Linked DNA regions of Mytilus edulis. The protein of the gene in region 2 interacts with the protein of the main gene of each other region in a biochemical or structural test. Links are inferred from orthologs where the notes say so. Each region holds a gene or a part of one and is shown on either strand. Other genes may lie near its edges. The genes, in order: F-BAR domain only protein 2-like and disabled homolog 1-like.

Region 1 (12,560 bases), about 51 Mb from region 2:
AAAGTTTAATTTTGGACCCCCATTTGGACCAACTTGAAAACTAGGCCAATAATTAAAAATCTAAGTACATTTTTAAATTCAGCATATCAAAGAACCCCAAGGATTCAATTTCTGTTAAAATCAAACTTAATTTTTTAATTTTTGATGAAATCACACAAAGTTCAATTTTGGACCCTTTGGGCCCCTTATTCATAAACTGTTAGGACCAAAACTCCCAAAATCAAACCCAACCTTCCTTTTATGGTCATAAACCTTGTGTTTAAATTTCATAGATTTCTATTTACTTATACTAAAGTTATGGTGCAAAAACCAAAAATAATGCTTATTTGGGCCCCTTTTTGGCCCCTAATTCATAAACTGTTGTGACCTCAACTCCAAAAATCAATCCCAACCTTCCTTTTGTGGTCATAAACCTTGTGCTAAAATTTCATTGATTTCTATTTACTTATACTAAAGTTATTGTGCGAAAACCAAGAATAATGCTTATTTGGGCCCTTTTTTTGGCCCTTAATTCCTAAACTGTTGGAACCAAAACCCCCAAAATCAATCCCAACCTTCCTTTTGTGGTCATAAACCTTGTGTCAAAATTTCATAGATTTCTATTAACTTAAACTAAAGTTATAGTGCGAAAACCAAGAAAATGCTTATTTGGGCCCTTTTTGGCCCCTAATTCCTAAAATGTTGGGACCAAAACTCCCAAAATCAATACCAACCTTCCTTTTGTGGTCATAAACCTTGTGTTAAAATTTCATAGATTTCCATTCACTTTTACTAAAGTTAGAGTGCGAAAACTAAAAGTATTCGGACGCCGGACGACGACGACGACGACGCCAACGTGATAGCAATATACGACGAAAAATTTTTCAAATTTTGCGGTCGTATAAAAATACCTTTCTCTCAGAAAGTCTATGAAGTCTTTAGAAGTTAAAAATACCTTTCTCTCAGAAAGTCTATGAAGTCTTTAGAAGTTAAAAATACCTTTCTCTCAGAAAGTCTATGAAGTCTTTAGAAGTTAAAAATACCTTTCTCTCAGAAAGTCTATGAAGTCTTTAGAAGCCGTCTGGCCATGTTTCATATTATGATACAGCACATAGAAGCCATTGTTCTTTTCTCCCTAAAAATAAAAAAAATATTGGTTATACTTGACCAAAATGATACAGCATGATACATACTTGCCTTCCCAACTATAATCACATATATATTTCATAATTTATATCTTTTTTTGCCATTTAGTCAACATTGTTTTTTTAAGTACATGTACATGTAGTTTTTTTTTAAAACATCAGGTGTTTTCTGACCTGTTTCAATGTAACTAATTGTTTAAGGATCTAAGGGACGATTTCAATTATTATAAGCAAATTTTCTTTATACAATTTTGGCAAAGAAAAACAAATACAAGAAAATTTCCAGATATCCTAGGAACAACACATGTACAGGAAAAGCGGATTTGTTTTGAGCAATTTTTATAAAACATTTCAAAGATTCCACATCAGCCATTGTCAGCTAAGGCAAATTTATATTTTCAGTCACATTTTGAAATTCCTAAAATATGCATATTTTAGAAATCTTCATTTCAATTGTTGAACCAATTTCCAGTCAATCAAAGCATGATAAATTGTTGTGTTAAGTAGATAAATGCGTTTGGTATAATAATAATAATAAATTCTTTATTTAACGAAGGTAACTCATTTAACATACAATTGTTAATCTCACACAAGGCCTTCACACATTTAAATGAATAATTCATATAGAACAATAATCAATAGATATGTACACAATTACAAATATATATATACACAAGCATGAAAACAGACTGTAGAACTAGCATGGCAAGAATGTCCTAAAAAAGTTTGACTACTCATTTTGTTTTATGATAAAGAGATTAACACATTTCATCTTAAAGCTTTCTATATGCAGTGTTCTAGGATTCCCATTACCCGTTACCCGGGGTAAGTGGATTAGGACAACGGGTAAGTCATTTTTTAGCCTTTGTCACCCGGTGGTAAGTCAATTTTCAAGTTCGGGGAAGCCGAAAAACTCTTGAAATTTCCCGGTCCTCTTCAATTTTCCCATATCTGCTTTTTATTTTTATTAAATCACGAGAAAAAACTTTGATAAAAGATCGAAGATTTTGTCGATGTCTATCGGCGCTTTTATTCAAGCACTCGTTTACTAGGTGTAATCAAGCGCAAAAGAGACCACATTCTTCTCCTATCATTCTAAAAGTCGGTCACGGTGTCGGTAAAATCGAAAAATCCGGATTGATAACTGGTGCTTAAATCGGGACATAAACGATTTTTTTTCTTGTCATCAGAGGAAAATAAACTTACAGTTGCATTTATTATAGCTCTTAATAAATGACATAGTAATAACTATAACATATTTGTCAAATTTAGTAAGAAATCGTTTTTTTTTAATTTTGTACAAAATTCAATCGTATCCGAATCCAGCTTTGTTCAGTAAATTACAATATTCAAAGTTTCATGAGTTTGCATAAGTTTGGATTTACTTCAAAAAGGCTAAACGATATAAATCAAGCATCACCCCCACCAAAAAAGCCCAAACTTGACAAAAAGCAGAGAGACAAACTGTATGATGTTGAAAAAAGGACCAGGGGGTATGCTTTGCCCCGTCCGCATTGGTTGGCGGATTTAACTTTTAGATGTGGGTAAGTAATTTTTTTATTGATCTTACCCGTGGTAAGTCAAGGTGCCAAAAAAATCCTAGAACACTGTATATGTCTTAAATCCTTTAAATCATTTGGGAAATTATTCCAAATGATTAGACCAGAATATTGAAAAGTCTTTTTGAAGTATTCAGACTTTGGCCTTGGTATATGAAGATGTCCAGATGTTGTTGACCTAAGAGAATAACTATATAAATCACTGCACGCAGTAAATTTAATTGTAAGATAATCTGGCGCTAGTCCATTCATACATTTAAACATTAAAGTGGCTTGAAAATATTTTATCCGAGTAAAAATGGTCATCCAATTAAGTTCTTTAAACATTGATATTGATGGATAATCAAAAGGCTTATTCAAAATTAATCTTGCTGTGCGCTTTTGTAGTTTATGAATCAGCTCAATGTTGCAATTTGCGGTAAAACCCCATATCCTGCAACAATAATCAATTATCGGTAATATATAACTATTATAAAAAAGGATAAGACCTTTGCGAGGTAAGTATCGTTTTAATCTTTTTAGCAGGTATAATCTGCTTGAAAATATTTCACATACTTTATCTATGTGAATTGACCATGATAGATTTTTATCAATATGGATACCAAGAAGTTTTTCCACTTCTACATTGTCAAATGCAGTTTGATTTTGTGATAATACACACAAGACATCGTTACAATTCTCAAGTTTTCTCTCAGATTCCATAAGCATACATTTGGACTTCTTGTTATTTATTATCATATTGTTTTTATCACATCATTCAATTAGGTTTTCAAAGTCTTTATTTAAATAAGAGTTTAAGTTTGAAATAGATTTGGACGATAAATGCAAAGTTGTGTCATCGGCATATAATTCAGACTCTGTGTGTTCTAATTCAAACGGGAGATCATTTATATAGATTAAGAATAATAAAGGTCCTAATATGGAACCTTGTGGGACCCCAAATGTTACATTATTGTATCCTGATTCAGTTGTTCCAATTTTAACCTTTTGCAATCTATTTGAGAGATAGGATGAAAACCATTTAACAGAGTGATCATCACATTTATATAAATTCAGTTTCGATAATGAGATGTTATGATTTACAGTGTCAAATGCTTTTTTAAAATCTAGAAATAAAACAGCAGTAAAATTGCCTTTGTCAAATTCTTCTAACCATTTGTCAATTATTTTGATAAGTGCTGTGTGGCATGAATGTTTTTCTCTAAATCCAGATTGTTGTCATTTATAAATTGAGTTTATTCAACGCCTAGCAATTAATATAAGTGATGTCAAAATACATCAGTGTCAGGAAGCAACATTAAAATATATAAAATTGTGCTAAATTCCAGACAAGGTGGAAGTTTTCTGAGTGCATCACTGCATGGTCATATGGACATGCAAGACGTTAATATTGATATATATATAAGTCAATGGATTGGTCTTAAGATAAGAATCTTCATTGGAAGTAAAGGGACAGAATTTGTAGAATAGTAGATTCAGAGTCCAGAGTTACATAATCAATCAACTTGAGTCTTTGTAAACTATGACCCTGAAAAACTCAACATTGGTCTTTACACCTTATCGCCAATTTCTAGACATCACAAAAGTTCCTGTAGAATTTCTACATCATAACAAATGCCTGATGCCACTAAGGAAAAGTGATTGTTTGACATCATAAGATCAAGTGTTGCAGATTTACTTATAGTAATAAGGTTTATTGATTGTATCCTGGTGAATAAATGGAAAGGGAAGTAACTAAAGGTAAAGTCTAAAGAGCTTCAAGGTTATAAATTGTTTCCTTGTCACAGAAATGATACTGATATTATATCAAATATTCAAATGAATGAAATAGTACTTGGGATGCAGAATATGAATATGCATTTGAGGCACAGTGGTAAAATGCAAATATGAACACAAGATAATATAAAACATGATCTAGACAACACCCCCTTTTCAAGTGTCAATTGCATGAAATGGTGTCGCTTTTTCGCAGCTTTTTTCAAGTAAATGTCATCTCATAGTCCGTCTCTGAAAACCTTATTTATTTAAGTACCCAAAAATGATCTGAGAAAGTTGTCATCCTAAATTTTGAAACTGCATCTGGTTTGTTCCATGAAAATGGCGATTATTTTGATTGTTTTGCGTTTGCGCACATCCGTTTTCTTACTCAGATTAGCGCTTTAACCAACGATCTTTTACCTTGCGGGTCTAAGCTTATATGTCGTCAGCTGTCAGTTAAAAATTTCCGGGAAAGTACAAAAAAAACCAAAAAAGGTATAAATGCACATGGCAATTTCTTCTTTACAGCTCAGAAATATTTCGGATTTATTTAAAAAGAGATAAGGCTTCGTACAAAATTGAAGTTATAGATTTTGGTATCCCCATGTGGCCACAATTTGATAACTTTGACAATTTTACACTCACTAATTTACAGTCTTTGAAAGTTTTTGAACACATGCATGAAGTGATGCACAATGAGGGTGGTAAAGGCACAATGAGGGTGGTAAAGGGTAATTTTCGGGCAACGTGTTTTGCCATTTTTATTTCACGTGCAACCGTGAAATAGGTTCGTTATTTGACGTGTTTCGTGAAATCGGTAAAAATCTCAACGTGCTATCTGGCAATTTTATTTCGCAGTCTTCTGTGCAGATACCACCCCTTTACGCCCCTCCACAATCTATGGTCAGATCATATGTTTTCGTACCTCACATGTTTTCGTACTATGCATGCTTTTTCAATGGAAATCGTGACGTCATAATGCATTCCTAATATAATTGAAATGGCAAATTGTATAGTAGATTTAGATTTATACACATCCTTGTTTAGATAAAGAACTTACCCCGAATCATATGCAGTGGAACACTTGACATTTTATGGTTAAGTTCGTCTTTTATATCAGGGATTATCATTTTGGTGTTTTTTGAAAAATTTCATTGCCTAAATCAGTCCATCTTTTTAATTGTCTGAAAGAAAGTGTACATTTTATCGTCGTGCACCAACTACCCATTAAGACCCTCTTATTCTGTTATTGACAATATTAACGTCATTTGACAAGAATTTTTACCTTTATTCCTCTTACAGGTACCCCCATTAAAACCCTCTCATTGGCAATATTTAATTGCACAAAGTCATGTAGGTACAAGACGATTAAAAAATAAATATATGTTGACTAGTGACTGAATTCACTTAAAAGATCATCAACTTGCTTCTTCCAAAAAAAATACTGTTCATATAGGACAAGAATCCCATATGGCACCCAAACAGTAAACTAAACTAAAGTAACATAATAATGTATTACATGTATTACAGTTAATTTCTGTGGGGGTGCCAGATAGTTGAGGGTAAAAAAAAAATCATAAATGGTTGGTTGAACTCCCTTGTACTGTACACTATGTGGTAAATGTAGAACTCTGAGCATTCATATTCATAAAAAAAAACACCATCTTGTAGAAGACAACCGATTTATTCACACTGGGTGCAGGGGTGGATCCAGCTATTTCAAAAAGGGAGTATTTTTGCCCCTGGACCCCCCTTCTGGATCTTCTACTGTGGTTGTATCATACAGACATTACAAAGTTCACATACAATAGAAAACACATGGCATACACTTAAACAATTCACACCATTTCAGCTATCCTGTTCATCGCAAACAGTCTTATCCAAACCCTATCTCTCAACATCAAGATATGGTGAACAAAGTTAATACTGTATTGGGTAATCACAGACATGTTAATAAAGTCAGAGTCACAACAACTGTTTGAAAGATCAATATTTTTGTCATTAAAATGAACCAAAATTAAAGATTTTAGGCCAAGAATTTAAAAAGTTCTGGTTAAAAAGTTGAAATAAGTTCAAAATGGTCAAAGTCAGATTGACAGCTAGGTTGTATTTATAAAATATACTTGTAATTACTAAATACTTATAGTTTAGTGATTTACTAATAGTATATTTTTTTCCCTTCATAAATTTAAGTTGACTGGAAGAATTGCATCAACCACCTCTACAAATAACTGTTATTTATCAAGATTATGGAAAAACTATGTTATTTTATATTTATTGACAGTATTTATTCCTGTATGTAAACAATAGTTTGCAGAAGATATGAAGAGAGTGGCGGATCCAGGAATTTTCTTAAGTGGGGGCCCACTGACTGCCTAAGAGGGGGCCTGCTCCAGTTACGCTTCAGTGATTCCCTATATAAGCAACCAATTTTTTTCCCAAAAAGGGAGACCCGGGCCCCCCCTAAATCCGCCTCTGAAGAGTACTCTAAATAATCTTGTAAATTAATTTTGATTTATAACCCTTGTAACAACTCCATATTCCATCCATCATACATGTAAACACCATTTATTATTATAATGGCATATGTAACTCCTTTTCCTGTAATTTTCATGTTCTGACAGCACATGTAGAATTTTTCCTGCAAGGTGCAATCACTAAATATATATTGTCCTTTCTATCAATAGGAAGTCACAGAAATGATAATATATAATTAGTGATTGCACCTTGCAGGATAAAAATCTACATACATGTTGTCAGAACATGAAAATTACAACAGCATTCCAGTCTGCACCAAACTGTTTTTAGGGTTTGCCTGACCGAAAAAGAAATTTGACGTTTTTCTTCTATATACATGATATATTCAACTAAAAATTTTGAAAATTTCTGTCTGACCGAATGATCTTTTGTCGAATAGACAGAGTTTGGGATACACGGGCATTCATTGACAGTAAACTACATATCAATCTCTTTATGTCATTCGCATCGAATTTGAACTATTCCTAATTATCTGTACTAGGTTTTTCTCCAAGTCCTATTGTAGTATTATCCTCAGACGCAATATAACATGCATTTCACTTTAAAAAAAAATTACAATTTCATCATATAAGAAAAACTCTATATAGTGATATTATAATCCCATCTACTGGCCTAGAATGCATGTTTCTTTTGATTTCTGTTATATAGATTTTATTTTTAATGTGAGACTTAAGGTTTGTTTGTGTGGTGCATTAAGAAAGTCAGTATATTACTTCCATTTCTGACTTTAATAGTGATCTTTTATAACTAATGAGAAAATTTAGTGTAATTAGCAGGGGCGGATGCAGGAATTTTCGAAAGGGGGGTGCTAACCCAGGGCAAAGGGGGGGTGCAGGGGGGGTGCAAAACATATGTCCCGATACAAATGCATTGATCGGCAAAAATAAAGGGGGGGTGCGCACCCCCGGAACCCCCCCCTGGATCCGCCACTGATTATATATAGTAAACAACTTTTTGTTTTAAACAAAGAGATCCCAACCACATGAATGATGTATGCATTGAATAATATTAATAAAATATGTACAAAAAAAAACATGTATTTGGGACTAAACAACTTTTTTTGTAAAACCAGTCAAGTAAAATATTGATTTTTTTGTACATCAGACTGTATTGAATACTTTTAAATATCAACAAAAATATCACATTTCCTGATTTAATGAAAATTGATAATATTAATTACATTAGTTGATACACTTATTTATTTAATCTGATATCTGATGTTGTGGACTCTAATGTATTTCCTGTTTTTTTAAGTTATGGATTGTAATCTCTAGTCACTGCAGTCATATTTTAAGGTCTGGACTTCTACACCATTTATTGACACTTGTAAATTTCAAATCAATAAAGCGTCTTTGTAAAAAAATAATAAATATGACTGTGTGTATAAAGTATATTGCAAGATACTCCAAAAATGTCAGTTATATTAATGTCTGAAATTAAGATGTTCAAACTGGAGAAGAGAATAATTATTCATGACATATAGTAAGTCTGATATTTGACTATTTGTCTTCGTCATTCATGACCAGATCGGTCAAGTATTAAATTAAGCAAAAATTACCCTTTCTTGACCCTTCCTACAGACAGTAGATGCATCATACTGTCAGAACTATTGATTTGTGTAAACAGCAAAGTCTTACCTCTTCACTAAATGATGTTAGTGAGCAAAAGCCTGAAATACTGAAAAAAAACCCAGATAGAGTAAAAAAGTGAGTGGAATATAAACTAAATGTTTTTTTAATGAGGAATACTGTTACGTGAAAAGGATAAACAGCATCAACAACATACATGTATTTATTCATAGTAAGAAGTGAGTACTTAGTAGAGACATCCGGACTTGCAACCTGATTTACACTTTTCATAAGTATCTGATGTAAAATGCATTTGTAATCATGGTAATAGGTGATTGACCATGATTCAAATTGGATTATCTCCCATTTATTTACGGGAACAAAAATAAGAAATAACTTAACATTGTGAAAGCATTTTATGTGAGGTAGGTTAGACACTTAAATAAGAAATAAGTTATGTTGTAAGTTGGGACATCTCTAGTAATAGAAACTATAATAAGAACAGGATGTGTATATTTAGAGAGATAGATTGATACATATAATTGCGGATATTACAATGAGTAGGAAAAACGTTAATATGAACAGGACGCTGACTTTTCTTAGATAAATATTTTGGATGACAATTTTAAAACAGCAATTGAATTTTTTTTTGTCTGTTTACCACACTGTCATGACTGTCCGGAAATTATTTTTCATTTTAATATAGAATAAAATATTGTTGTGTCATAACTTTGCATTTATTTTTATGTAATATGATCTTTAGACTTAAATTATACAATCCTAACTATAAATACTTATAACATTAGACCAAGACTGTACTTATGTGTTTAAAATATGCATATTATTGTCTTGAAAGTGTTCCATTACATGTATTTAGATTAAAATAAAGTAATTACATGTACTTAATATTTTAAAACAATCAAAATAACCTTGTAATAATGGGAACTTGCGTTTATTTTTATTCAGCATTTTACAAGATTTATAAGTACTGTATTTTTCAAACTACATGTAGTCTTGAAAGATAGATAAAATAAATGATATTAATTGTGAAACAATGCAGTTTGAGCTACTTTAATCCTAATTTAGATATTCTGACCTAAACTTTATAAAATAAAAGGACAGCTACTTAGGTAAAGTTTATGATACTTATAACTTCAATTATGACTAATTTTAAGAAAATCCCTTTGATCTACATGCACTACTAGTTAATTTTCCATCAGGCTATTTCAGATGTGTTTTCTTAGATGTACATGTAGAAAGAGAATGTGAAGACATCATGAACAATATGTCATTGACACCGTCACTAACATTAACTTATTGACAATGTCTAGGAAAATAGCAGATTATTTATGTTTTTGAAACTTGGTACATTACAATGTATATCTGATCCTTATCTTGTAGAAAAAAAACCATCAGTAATCTATTTATATAATGCATTTCCAATACATATATGATAATTGAAAAATTACAAATGACAATGGCCAAATGACAATACATCTATTTGTTTTGCTGTCATCTGACCCTTCTGTGTATTTTTTTTTTTGCATATACTTTTACTTTACATGAGATGTCAGCCTTGAACTAGAAAAAAATACATATCCCGTACATTGTATATTGATCTGTTTTATCATACTTATTGTATTAATTATCTTAAGGAAGATATCTTATTAATAACAAGATAATGTTATATTACAGGTTAAGTGACATAGTTGGATGGTTACCCAAGTTTTTGAACTTTGTGATGTGACACAATGATAGCATACAGCTGATAAAGTTTTCTGATGATACCATGCCAAATATTTACTATAGACTTATTGATATATTCATAAAGCCTTCAGATCCTGTATGGATTATAATTGAAAATATTTAAATCGGGTAAGGAATATCAATATTGTTTTTAAATTTAATACTTACTATTACATTTATATATGTAATGCAAAAAGTGCATATTTGTCACGCTAAGCACATATGTATGATTAATTTGACGGATAGCTTTAACTTTGAAGTGTTTATTTTTGTGGAAGGTGTTGTTTTCTCTATTTTCATAAAAAATTTTAAAGCTGTAAACGATTGCATTATTAAAACGTTTTAAAGTGTAATATAAATTCAGGAGAGATTGATTATTTAATGGATTAATGCATATGTATTTTAAAGTGTCAAGTTTGTTCAGGAGTTTACTAGGTAAGACCACAAGCTAAGCAGTTGTCCTACAATTAGTTGTAACAGACTGATAACAACCTTGGCATCATCATTATCTGTTTGGCCACATTCATGTTATTCTTAATCTCAGCTGTACAGACTACACTGATAGATTATGGGGAACCTGATAGGAGGGTGCCCCCCCTTTAATTACATGATAATGCAATGTATATCATACCATTTCAAGTATTGCAAGATCTTTTTCCCATGATTTCTTCTTATATAGAAAAAAAACATTTACAATCGTAATTTTGAAAATTTTATGCATGCAAAATATTTTGTACAATATCATTATTCTTTAATTCATTGAATTCTTGTAATTTTATAATGTGATTGAAATGTGCCTTGCCTTTTATCCAGTGAAGGTATGCAGTAGTACAAATTACATAGACCAAAACAGATCCATGTGCTATGAGTGAACATGTGTCTGCCTATAATTAGATTGTCAATCATATGTTATTACTAACTTTCATAAGGTCGTGCGCCATTCGCACATTTTGACCAGATCTTATTTCTTGTACCTGTATTTATTAAACAAATATTGTCATCTTAATTGATTCCAAATTATATGAATGTTACACTGTGGATACATTATAATCTAGTGGGATACCATTTTTCAATGATTTCGTGGGTACAGGATTATTTCAATGTTCCACAAAACTTTTCCTTAGGCATGTATGCAGACTTAGGCATAACCCTGAAATCAAATATCAACAAAAATATTATTCCCCACAATCCACATTAATTGCATTGGTACCCACGAAAATAAAAGAATGTTATTTGCGTTTTCTTTTTGTTGTTTAAAAACCTATAATTTTAAATTTAACAGTTCAATAAAATTTTGTACGGTCAATATATATTTATAAACAGAGACCTATAATACAAGTATAAATGGATAATACTATGTATTATATGTATGATAAAGATAAATAATCAATGTACTATAGTCTGTGTTTTGATTAAACATCTGTTTGATATTCAAATAAGAAAATCACATTGTACTTTTTATTTGTTTTCATATAATCATAATGTGTTAGCGCTTTTACATACTCCCACTGAAGGAAAAGATTTAATTCAATTTAAAAAGCTGAAGACTGCAAGTGGATATATTAAAATACATAATTTAAGATTTTAAAACTGATGACAAAGTTTATATACATTGAATATTTTATGAATATTTTACTGCATAGTGCTATTCAGTGATAGGATTTGTGATGAATTAATTCAAGTGACCTTTAGTCATTAAATGAAGTAATATCAATCCTACAAGACACTTCAATTTTCAAAAGGTAGAGAATTTTTGTTTTTTTATTGCCTTCATTAAGTCAATACTGCATGCACATCAACAATTTCTCAGGAATAAATTATGCTACACTTCATATAATTATACCCCTGCTTTGAAAAAAAAGGGGGGTATACTGTTTTACCTCTGTCTGTCCTTCCGTCAGTCCGTCCGTCCCATGAATATTTTTCGTCACATTTTTCTCAGGAACTACACTACCAGGATTTCTGAAATTTGGTTTCAGGCTTGACATAAGTCAGCTATACCGTGTGATGCGTTTTCAGATTCATCACTCAACAACTTCCTGTTTACCGAACACTTGTTTGATTTTACACATGATAGCCAAGTTGAAAATTTTTCGTCACATTTTTCTCAAGAACAACAATACAAGGATTCTGAGATTGGTTTAAGGGTTAATATAAGTCAGCTATACTTTGTGATGCGTTTTCAGATTCATCACTCGACAACTTCCTGTTTACCGAACACTTGCATATTTTTACACAATTAATATTATCCACTTGCGGCGGGGGTA
Region 2 (12,921 bases):
TACCAAATTTGAACGGTCGAGAAGTCTGTCAAACAGAGCAGTGGTAGATACTAAAGTTGGAAGGTCGAGAAGTCTGTCAAACAGAGCAGTGGTAGATGCTAAAGTTGGACGGTCGAGAAGTCTGTCAAACAGAGCAGTGGTAGATACTAAAGTTGGACGGTCGAGAAGTCTGTCAAACAGAGCAGTGGTAAATACCAAAGTTGGACGGTCGAGAAGTCTGTCAAACAGATCAGTGGTAGATACCAAAGTTGGACGGTCGAGAAGTCTGCCACATTTTAACTCTTTCAAATGTATTGTTATAAATTATTTTTAAGGTCATTTTTTTAAAATGTTTACTAGTATACAAAAAAAAAATGACTAAAATACACGAGGACAGATAACCTTGCCCACGGAAAATTAAATTTTAGTGATCTTTACCAGTGTATAGGTTACTTTTAGGATACTTTCTTCTTCAAATAACAGAACAGTCAATATGACTGATATGTATCTGGTATAGGAAAAGAACAGCAATGAAAAACAATCCCTTTTATAATTTATAGTATAATTGTCTTAAAACACATACATAACCAGCCATTCATAATCTACAGTCCTTATAACCACTTATCTTTATTTGATTAAAATTAAAGTGGAAATTGATTGTTTCCTCATAATTATCATTTATATACCAAAATCTGATAGCAGACAATTCAAATACTCTAGAATGCAATTTCTATTTTAAAACTTTTTAAGAAATAACAAAATTCGGTATTGCCGGAAAGTTTTGTCTGAGTGTTATATCATTCAAGAAATACGTCGAACTGTTAGAACTTACTGAAGACCATAGACGAGGGTATTGATGGGGTCCACAAAATAGAGAAGGAGAATAATGAGCCAATCCTACAAAAAAATAAAGATAAAGTAGAGAATAATTGGGTGCGTAAATATAAAGAATATGGAACAATGGGACGAAAATATAAGAAATAGAGAAAATGACATAAAATATTAAAGAATACAAAAATGGTTGACCCAACCCAAACCTCATTTATGTAATGGTTTAATGAGAAATCTGATAATGGCACATATGATACGTCAAAGGGTGAAGGCATGACAAATATCTTGTACAAAACTGTTATATCAGCTGTAGCAATCGAACACTATCATCTTTATCTAACAAGAGGTTCTTGAGAGCATTTGTCGCTCAGCTAAGTATTCATCAAATGGCCACACTCCAACATTAAACACTAGAATACTCAATATACATTGAAGACCTGTTGGTGACCTTCTGCTGTTGTCTGTTCTATGGTCGGGTTGTTGTCTCTTTGAAACATTCCCCATTTCCATTCTCAATTTTATTCATGACTCAAATTCTCTTTTTTATTGATTAATTTTTTTGTTTATAATTTCTTTCTACTATAGTTTTGCCCAAAGTGCAAAATTGCGTACAAAATCCTCATCCGTACAGGTGAATAACTCCTATGATTAGTGGACTGACAAAGTAGAAATTAATATTTACTCTCAATTCAAAAATCTCATTTAAGGGCAATAACTCCTTTGCTGAGTTTACCGACAGTTTCATGGAGCTATATTTGACTTATTTGCAGACCCTAATTGTCTAACTGTTTATTTTTGATTTGTGAAGTTTCTCTTTTTTACTTTAGTTAGTGGCCCAAAATACATACAAACTAATAAAAAAACTGATTTCGGGACAATAACTCCAATAAGGAGTTGACAGATAATTTGGCCATGTTTAAAAAAATGTAGCTGAACTTTTTTCTTCTTTTATAAATATAGTTTAAAAAAAATTAGACAAAAACGCAACAATTGTCATTTTATGGCAACATTAAAGGGTTGACAATTTCTTTGTTGTCTTATTTGTAAATCTTGTCTTGCTGATCTCTTTTTCCATTTTAGAGTTTCTCTCTATTTATAATAGTTTACAAACAAATAAAAACAGGCAAAACCACAAAAATGGTAAACATCGTGGTTTAAGGGCAATAACTTACTCTTACTATTACAAACAATAAATTAACAAACAACACACTTAAAAGTAATACCGTTTAAATGAATACTTTCACCGAAGTATTTATAATCTGTCTATATGTGACAATCGCCATCCAATAAGCCTAAGTAATATTGACGTATGCACTTCCGAGCAGTTTTCCTGTTCGGCAACGTCATAAAAAACACAGGTACACACGACAAATCTGAATTCCAATAAGGGCTTGGAAGCGACAGTTATAATATAATATAAATGATGCAATGACCGAAGCACAATCACCACTCAGCAATAAGTGCATCAAGCTAAAACACCGATTTAAAAGACAACATCAAACCTTTTTACTAAAAAAAAATCTTGAAACGCAAATTTGTCTGCACCAGTTTCAACCAAATTCCAGTAGACATTACTGCACCTCCTCAATATAAATCTGTTCATTTAAGAAAAAAATCAGCATTAGTTTTTGTTGATTCATGACATCCATCATTTTCAGTGACAAACAAAGGACGATAATTCAAATGTCAAGCTTAAGTTTTATGTCGTTAAATTGATTAGAGTTATCTTTCTTTGTCTGATTAATATAATGTAGCTCTATCATGTCTATATCAAGTCCAAATAATTTTCAAGACGTCATAATTATTTGGACTAGTCTATATCTACATGAACCATGACTATTTCATTTCAATGTGAAAAGAAATGTTTTTCAGTAACAAATCTCAGTGTATTCTTTTGTGTCTATACATGTCGTGCTGACCATCAAGGGCATTGATTGCAATAATAGGTATTCTTATTTTTATTGTAATATAAAACAATAAATTGTCGTCTACTTGCAAACTGTATAAATATCAATAGATACTCCGTCGTCATTAATAATCATTAACCTTTGAGAATCTTGATCAAATGCCAGACCCCAAGGATGATGTATTCCTTCGTCTAAGACCATGGATTTAGTTCCTCTGTTTGACAACCGATGGATATTTCCAGATTCGTACCCAGCAACAAACACGTGACCTAAGCCATCTGTAGCGAGTCCAGATGGACCAACCAACGTTTCAGATCTGCAGATAAATTGTGACCGCTCTCGCGCAATGCATTGGACTTCATCGCCGTTGTTACTTGTCCAGTAAATGGAGCCGTTTATTCCTGCGCTTAAAAGCAACGGGTCATATTTGGTGTTTATTTTGAAAATGGAAATTCCCGCGCGATCGAGAATGCTTATTTTGCAGTGTCCACTCCGGACGATGATTTGATCGTCAATGCAGGAAATCGCAGTGCATTTCCCGCCAGGTCTTATAAATCGATCTGGTCTACATTCACTGTCGGTGATATCAAAAACTTGTATACCCCTCTCGCCTGCTGCGACAACGGCTGTATTCCTGTCAAACAGGGCAACATCATGTGGAAAGTACAGCAATGGAATTTTCTCGGTCATTGACCCGTACAGGTTACATACAAATATAAATCTATTCTGCGCATCGCATAAAAGCATATGCTTCCCTGAGATAAAACAGCCACGTGAAACTGTGATATTTTCTCCTAAAGATGAAGACGTCGGGAATTTTTTGTATAGTACTAGCTGTATAATCGAGGGAGTTTGAGGTACAAGTTTTATTAACGACAGTTCACTTTCTTTGAAATTACTAACGGATCGAGTTGATACAGGTCTAGGTACAATCTTGCTCTCTGTTGGACTTTCCCATTGTTTGCTGGTCGGCCTAGGTGAAGTTGTTTTTTCAGTGAAAGCAGATTTGACTCGATTGATAACTTTAATATCGACCCAACCCATTGCATTGTAAAGCGATGCCAATTGTTCTTCGTTTTGGGTGAAATCGATTTCCAATGGTTTATATCTATCTCTGAAGTTACTTATGATATCTTCAGTTCTTGGTTTAGTCTGTTCAAACTTCTTTACAATTGTGAACTTATAAGGTTCAGAACCATTCTTTCTCATTAATTCAATATCACTATCGTGAATAGACATCAGGTCTTTATTATGTTGAAGCTGGGAAATTTCATCATCTATTTGTTCAACACAGGAGTCGTATTTCACACTGAGACTGTTTAGTAGTTCTTCTTCTAGTTTTGTTAGATGATCTATGATTTCAGACTTTGTTTTCTTAATTGTTTCTTGAATTGTCTTGTTTTGTTGATCAAGGTTTGCTAGATTTTCTTTCCTGGTATTTATCAGTTGGTTTAAAGAGTCGGCAAGTTTTAATGCTTGCTTTTGTAGAACATCAAAATAGTCGTTACTACTACTGCGCGGTCTCTCTGGCATTAGCTGCTCAATTGCAGTAATATATTTACAGTCCTTGTGTGTTTGTAACAAACAGGTTTGGCAAATCAGCTGGTCATGTCTATTGCAGTAGAAGGTCACTCTTAAATCGGAATGAAGATCACATAAGAAAGACGTAGCCATTAGAAATGATTTAGTATTCTTAACATCCCGGAGACGGATAAGTTTATGCGAGGTTGTGAATCTAGACTTTTTATGGACCTTCCCACAATCCTCACATAATGCTTCGGCACAGTCACAACACCAGTGTTTGGCTTCAACATTATCATTGTCCCTTAGACAAGCAGCGCATATTTCGATATTGACTTTCTTTTCCTTTTCCATCTGAAAGTGTAAAAAGTCATGTTTTCTATTGCTATTATAAACAACGGTACGCCTAGTAAATAACAATGGGGCACCTGTGTTATCAAAGGATTGAACCCTTTCCTTATTCCCTCGAGATGACATTTAAAAATTATCATGCATGAAAGTATATCAGAAATATGCTGGACAGTTCCACTACCAACACCAAATATATATGTAAGATAAGTTTCGCAGAATCAAATAATATGCCTGTACGAAGTAAGGCTATCTGAGCTTTGTATTATTCGTTGTTATTTGTAAGTATGTTTTCTGCGAGGGGTTTATTGCTGTTTGTACTAGTAAGTCATAGTGTGGTGGAAGGTTGAATATCAATGTTAATACCTTCTGTCATATGTATAAAATGGTTAGTAGCAATTGTTATTAAACTGCCACCAAATGTATAGCAGATTGGACAAGAAAAATTCTATCATAAGTGTATAAGTTCAGATTTATTATTTCTTCCATAGATCAACACACAAACGGATTGCTGAGCAAAAAAAAAAAAAAAAAGAAATGAACTCATAACCTTAGAAAATGCTAGATTAGAATGAGTTGAAAGTATGAGCTGACGAAAATGAAAGATAAAGAGGTCCGAATGGATTTACGGATTAGATAATAATTGGCAAAACATTAATGACAGTGAGAAATAGAACAACAAAAAAAAGGAATAAAGAATGGAATTTTCAAATATTAAGAAAATTATAGCTACGGTAAAAAAATACAAAAATTACAAATAAAGAAAACAGGATAACTGCTATAAAATGTATGCATACAGAAATGACAGACTCCCTCTAAAAATATAAATAAAATCCAGACACTCTTACTAGGCATTATCGTTTGAATTGATTTATATGTGGCATTTTGTGGCCATTTCTAGCTGACTATGAGATATGGGCATTGTTCAATGTTGATCGTTACTGTGACCTATAGTTGTAAATTTCTGTGTCATCTGGTCTCTTGTGAAGAGTTGTCTCACTTGGGCGTACATATCACATCTTCTTTAAATATACACCAAGTATACGCATGCAGCACTCATAACCACCCGTCTATATTTGCCTACGAAAGGAAAGCACCTCAGTTCATGTAAATAAAAAAGATTTAAGCTTGAAATATGTTTGTATAACGCTGATATCTTACCTTTCCCTTTTATTTTCTTTGAACTGTTTTAAGCTTCTTTAGATAAATTGTCGATATATTCCTATTATAATATGGTAAAACTTATATATGCGACAAAAGCACTGATGCGGATCAGTAATTGTTTTGAAGAAGTAATAATTGAAATTAAAACTTGAAATATAATCATTTATCAAATTGACAATAGTATATATAAACTAAAATAGTAATAGTCTGATATGTTTTGATCAAAAGTTATGAGATCTAATATAGTTGCCCTTTACCAGATTTTTTCAATTTCACACACGAAAAGATTACAAAAATATCACATTAGAGATAAAAGACTTATTCATGTTTCAAATTTTATTGTTTTAGGGGCCTTTGACAGACAAGGGAGGGAAAGGGGGAAGGTTCCTTTTGTCCCATCTTACGGTATGTATATATATAGTTTACCAACTCGCTCTCTATGACCGTGAAGGTTGTAGTTCCTGACGTTTTAAATTAATGAAGGTAAATTATATCCGAAACTGATTTATAATTTATAAAGTCAGGCATTTCGTTACCGTTTTTTGTTTTTGGATCATATATAGAAATCTGATCAAAATGAAATGTAATATTTATGACGACACGAGGACGGAGGTTCAACAAGAAAGTACACAGGTGAATTAATGAAAAACTTGATAGAAATCGTGTTTCCATGATCCTAGTCAAAAAATGTAATTATATTAAAGTAAATATGCTTCTTTTAGTAATTTTATAGGGTTTTAAAAGCATTAACCATGCGCATATTTTTTAAATTTCGGTCAACGTTTTTACTTAAAAAAAATTACAAAAAGAAACATGAAATTCTCAATTGAAAATTTTGTTCAGTCAAAACGCATGAAATATTTGTCACTGGACGAAAAGAAAACTTGAGAATCATCAATCAATCCGGCAATCCGTAATTTCATTTCAGTCAGGTTATGTCCATCGTTTCAGTTTATGGCTTTAAGTGTTGCTGGCATGTAAAACATAAATACTCAATGACTTCTGTTCTTTCTTTAATATAGAATAAAATACCATGTTGATTTTAATACTCATTTTCGAATATTCAAGTCCTTACCGTGGTTGGTTTCTTTTTAGTTTGATTTTGGTTTGTTTTGATGCATGATCGCCCACGAGAAAATGGGTACATGAATAACAAAGGGTAAGTGAACATTTCTATAAACTGTCAGACAAAAGTTAATAGATTTTTGAATTTCTTAAAAATTATGTGTTCCTTCATCCTAATTTATTCACAGTTTTGTTCACAGAAATTCGCTTTATTTTTGGATCACCTGATCTCAACTTCAGAAACGGGGTCAAAGTTGTTGAACCATTTCATTTCACTTTGGAATCCTTAAAATTGGTAAAATACAAACCAGGAAATGTTCTACTAGTTTAGAAAAATATTCACATGTTTTCAACTTGTAATTTCCTAATAAGGAACGGTTAATTGCCGAGATAATAGTGTGTATCTGAAATGTACATGCTACACGCCCCCTTTTACGATATAATATTGATAAAGTGTACCACTTTGGAATATCACAAAGTAATTATTATGTTATGAAGAAGAAAAAGATAATATTCACATAGATTAAGATTTTATACACTGCTAAAGGAATCAGAATTGAATACTTTAATTTCTTGTGTATCAATCATGTAAATGTAAGTTTCTTGTACTGTACACATGTACAATGATGTAGATGCAGGTAATATTAATTATTACATTTGTCAAATCTCCTTGTATAAGAATAATTTTTCAATGTTGACACTTGACAATTGTAATCTTTTGTACTTATTGTTGATGGTTACACTACATTTACAACTTGTTTTTACTATACCATGTCATTTACATACAGTTGTACCACATCTTCAATTCCTATATCTACATATAAACAAAAATTCTCCAAACCTCTTCAGAAGAGCATCATTGAAAATGGGTTAACCACAATTTTTCAAAGTTAAAAAAAAATGAGATTTTTTTTTAAAAAGACTGACATGTAACATAAATATCGGTACATATGAATTACTGCAAAATTGATGAATTATTTTATTATTGTTTCAGCTATTGTAGAATCATCTTATTTTTATGCCCCATTTACGATAGTAGAGGGCATTATATTTTCTGGTCAGTGCATCTGTTCAGCTGTCCATTCGTCCATCTGTCCGTTCGTCCGTCTGTCTTTAGGTTAAAGTTTTTGGTCAAGGTAGTTTTTGATGAAGTTGAAGTTCAATCAATTTAAAACTCAATACACATGTTACCTATGAAATGATCTTTTTAATTTAAATGCCAAATTTGATTTTTTACCCCAATTTCACGGTCCACTGAAGATAGAAAATAATAATGAGAGTGGGGCATCAGTGTACTTTTGACACATACAATGTACTTGGTTTTTGTATACATGTATACAAATGTACCTCATATATCTCTCATTTAATTTATTTTGGATTCAGATGTACATGTACATAACATCTTTGTTGTGATGTTATGCTATTGTTTCAGAAAAAGGGAGAAGGTTTGGATCCATTAAAACGTTTAATCCCGCTGCAAATGTTTGCACCTGTCCTAAGTCAGGAATCTGATGTACAGTAGTTGTCGTTTGTTTATGTAATATATACGTGTTTCTCGTTTCTCGTTTTGTTTATATAGATTAGACCGTTGGTTTTCCCGTTTGAATGGTTTTACACTAGTAATTTTGGGGCCCTTTATAGCTTGTTGTTCGGTGTGAGCCAAGGCTCCGTGTTGAAGGCCGTACTTTAACCTATAATGGTTTACTTTTTAAATTGTTATTTGTATGGAGAGTTATCTCATTGGCACTCACACCACATCTTCCTATATCTATGTATTGTTAATGAGCATTCACTTTAATGAGGGTCACTCCAACCTACATATGTATATGCATTTACATTAGCTTATTGCCCTAAAAAATAATATTAACAACCCAACTCTAGTTTTAAGTGTCTCCCCTTAATGATTTTAAAAATTTTTGAACAAGCACAACATTTGCACAAGGCACATACTATTTTTTCTGCTGTTAAAACCAATTTAAAAGTAATATTACCTACATTTGTTACTTCCAAACTCAATGATATAAGTTTTAAACCAAGTTGGGTCAAACCAAAGAATTGGTATTTTCTGCTTCTCTGCAAAACACCCAGAGAAGATATACTTGTAATTCAATGGTCCAGATAGCTTCCCAAGTTTGATGGCGGTGTCATATGGTATTTTGAACCCCCTAAAAAGTGAACCCGGGGTCAAAATACCATGCGGTAAAATGACCCCGGGGTCATTATACCGCATGGTATTTTGACCCCGGGGTCATTTTTCACATATGGTATTTTGAACCCCCCTGCGGTATATTGAACCCCCCTGTTTTTGATAAATAGTATTGCAGATAATCTAATTTACAATTTATTGGCTATCATTTTTTTTAATTTGTGCTTTTAAGTAGGGGGTTCAATATACCGCAGGGGGGTCAAAATACCATGGCTAAGTAAAATTTTCAAAATATCTTTTCCAGTATATTAAATACATACAAACTACTCATTGGAGTATTATAACTATGTTGAGGAGTAAGAATAGCTTGAATTTTTGAAATTCAAGGTCTATAGTAGGGGGTTCAATATACCGCAGGGGGGTCAAAATACCATGGCTAAGTAAAATTTTCAAAATATCTTTTCCAGTATATTAAATACATACAAACTACTCATTGGAGTATTATAACTATGTTAAGGAGTTAGAATAGCTTGAACTTTTGAAATTTAAGGTCTATAGTAGGGGGTTCAATATACCGCAGGGGGGTCAAAATACCATGGCTAAGTAAAATTTTCAAAATATCTTTTCTAGTATATTAAATACATACAAACTTCTTATTGGAGTATTATAACTATGTTAAGGAGTTGAAATAGCTTGAACTTTTGAAATTCAAGGTCTATAGTAGGGGGTTCAATATACCGCAGGGGGGTCAAAATACCATGGCTAAGTAAAATTTTCAAAATATCTTTTCCAGTATATTAAATACATACAAACTACTTATTTGAGTATTATAACTATGTTGAGGAGTAAGAATAGCTTAAATTTTTGAAATGCAAGGTCTATAGTAGGGGGTTCAATATACCCCAGGGGGGTCAAAATACCATGGCTAAGTAAAATTTTCACAATATCTTTTCCAGCATATTAAATACATACAAACTACTTATTGGAGTCTTATAACTATGTTGAGGAGTTAAAATAGCTTGAATTTTTGAAATTCAAGGTCTATAGTATGGGGTTCAATATACCGCAGGGGGGTTAAAATACCATGGCTAAGTAAAATTTTCAAAATATCTTTTCTAGTATATTAAATACATACAAACTACTTATTGGAGTATTATAACTATGTTAAGGAGTTAGAATAGCTTGAACTTTTGAAATTTAAGGTCTATAGTAGGGGGTTCAATATACCGCAGGGGGGTCAAAATACCATGGCTAAGTAAAATTTTCAAAATATCTTTTCCAGTATATTAAATACATACAAACTACTTATTGGAGTCTTATTACTATGTTGAGGAGTTAGAATAGCTTGAATTTTTGAAATTCAAGGTCTATAGTAGGGGGTTCATTATACCGCAGGGGGGTCAAAATACCATGGCTAAATAAAATTTTCAAAATTTCTTTTCCAGTATATTAAATACATACAAACTACTTATTGGAGTATTATAACTATGTTAAGGAGTTAGAATAGCTTCAATTTTTGAAATTCAAGGTCTATAGTAGGGGGTTCAATATACCGCAGGGGGGTCAAAATACCATGGCTAAGTAAAATTTTCAAAATATCTTTTCCAGTATATTAAATACATACAAACTACTCATTGGAGTATTATAACTATGTTAAGGAGTTAGAATAGCTTGAACTTTTGAAATTTAAGGTCTATAGTAGGGGGTTCAATATACCGCAGGGGGGTCAAAATACCATGGCTAAGTAAAATTTTCAAAATATCTTTTCCAGTATATTAAACTATACTTATTGGAGTATTATAACTATGTTGAGGAGTTAGAATAGCTTGAATTTTTGGAAATTCAAGGTCTATAGTAGGGGGTTCATTATACCGCAGGGGGGTCAAAATACCATGGCTAAGTAAAATTTTCAAAATTTCTTTTCCAGTATATTAAATACATACAAACTACTTATTGGAGTATTATAACTATGTTAAGGAGTTAAAATAGCTTCAATTTTTGGAATTCAAGGTCTATAGTAGGGGGTTCAATATACCGCAGGGGGGTCAAAATACCATGGCTAAGTAAAATTTTCAAAATATCTTTTCCAGTATATTAAATACATACAAACTACTTATTGGAGTCTTATATTAAACTATGTTGAGGAGTTAGAATAGCTTGAATTTTTGAAATTCAAGGTCTACAGTAGGGGGTTCATTATACCGCAGGGGGGTCAAAATACCATGGCTAAGTAAAATTTTCAAAATTTCTTTTCCAGTATATTAAATACATACAAACTACTTATTGGAGTCTTATAACTATGTTGAGGAGTTAGAATAGCTTGAATTTTTGAAATTCAAGGTCTATAGTAGGGGGTTCATTATACCGCAGGGGGGTCAAAATACCATGGCTAAGTAAAATTTTCAAAATTTCTTTTCCAGTATATTAAATACATACAAACTACTTATTGGAGTATTATAACTATGTTATGGAGTTAGAATAGCTTCAATTTTTGGAATTCAAGGTCTATAGTAGGGGGTTCAATATACCGCAGGGGGGTCAAAATACCATGGCTAAGTAAAATTTTCAAAATTTCTTTTCCAGTATATTAAATACATACAAACTTCTTATTGGAGTATTATAACTATGTTAAGGAGTTAGAATAGCTTCAATTTTTGAAATTCAAGGTCTATAGTAGGGGGTTCAATATACCGCAGGGGGGTCAAAATACCATGGCTAAGTAAAATTTTCAAAATTTCTTTTCCAGTATATTAAATACATACAAACTACTTATTGGAGTATTATAACTATGTTAAGGAGTTAGAATAGCTTCAATTTTTGAAATTCAAGGTCTATAGTAGGGGGTTCAATATACCGCAGGGGGTCAAAATACCATGGCTAAGTAAAATTTTCAAAATATCTTTTCCAGTATATTAAATACATACAAACTACTCATTGGAGTATTATAACTATGTTAAGGAGTTAGAATAGCTTGAACTTTTGAAATTCAAGGTCTATAGTAAGGCGTTCAATATACCCCTTCTATACCTTGAATTGCAAAAATTTAAGCCTTCTTACTCCTTAATATAGTAATAAACTCCAATAAGTAGTTTGTATGTACTAAACATGCTGGAAAAGATATTTTGAAAAATTTACTTTGCCATGGTATTTTGACTCTCCTGCAGTATATGGAACCCTTACTATAGACCTTTAATTCAAAAAATTCTGGCAATTCTAACTCTTTTATGTTGTATGAATACACCAATAAGTAGTTTGCATGTATCAAACTTGCTGGAAAAGTTGTTATGAAAATTTTACTTTGCCATGGTATTTTGACCCCCCCTGTGGTATATTGAACCCCCTACTCTAGGCCTTTAATTTCAGAAATTCTGGCAATTCGAACTCTTTTATGTAGTAAGAATACAAATATAAGTAGTTTGTATTTATTAAACTTGCTGGAAAAAATATTTGAAAATTTTACTTTGCCATGGTATTTTGACCCCCCTGTGGTATATTGAACCCCCTTCTCTAGGCCTTTAATTTTAGAAATTCTGGCAATTCGAACTGTTTAATGTAGTTAGAATACACCAATAAGTAGTTTGGATGTATTTAACTTGCTGGAAAAGATATTTTGAAAATTTTACTTTGCCATGGTATTTTGACCCCCCTGTGGTATATTGAACCCCCTTCTCTAGACCTTTAATTCAAAAAATTTGCCAATTTTAACTCTTTGGTGTAGTTAGAATACACCAATAAGTAGTTTGTATGTATTAAACTTGCTGGAAATTTTTTTTTGAAAAATTTACTTTGCAATGGTATTTTATCATTGTTTATGACTCTCCTGCGGTATATTGAGCCCCCTACTCTAGGCCTTTAAAATTTCAAAATTCTGGCAATTCTAAACTCTTTTATGTAGTCAAAATGCACCAATCAGTAGTTTGTATGTATTAAACTTGCTGGAAAAGATATTTTGAAAATGTT

What was found.
Region 1: the proteins of disabled homolog 1-like (region 2) and F-BAR domain only protein 2-like form a complex in vitro, tested with the Homo sapiens proteins (2 studies listed by BioGRID). The link is inferred for Mytilus edulis from reciprocal best matches to the Homo sapiens genes DAB2 and FCHO2.

The regions. Positions count from the first base shown.
Region 1 is NC_092344.1:9,083,780-9,096,339, reverse strand, and holds the start of F-BAR domain only protein 2-like, read right to left. Parts: upstream 4,845-12,560; 5' UTR 4,743-4,844; coding exon 4,716-4,742; intron 1,115-4,715; coding exon 1,023-1,114; intron 1-1,022. UniProt on the Homo sapiens protein: Functions in an early step of clathrin-mediated endocytosis. Has both a membrane binding/bending activity and the ability to recruit proteins essential to the formation of functional clathrin-coated pits.
Region 2 is NC_092344.1:59,955,950-59,968,870, forward strand, and holds the start of disabled homolog 1-like, read left to right. Parts: upstream 1-6,826; 5' UTR 6,827-6,909; intron 6,910-7,076; exon of another isoform or gene 7,077-7,293; intron 7,294-12,921. Other genes in the region: uncharacterized protein, read right to left, coding at 2,799-4,592. UniProt on the Homo sapiens protein: Adapter protein that functions as a clathrin-associated sorting protein (CLASP) required for clathrin-mediated endocytosis of selected cargo proteins.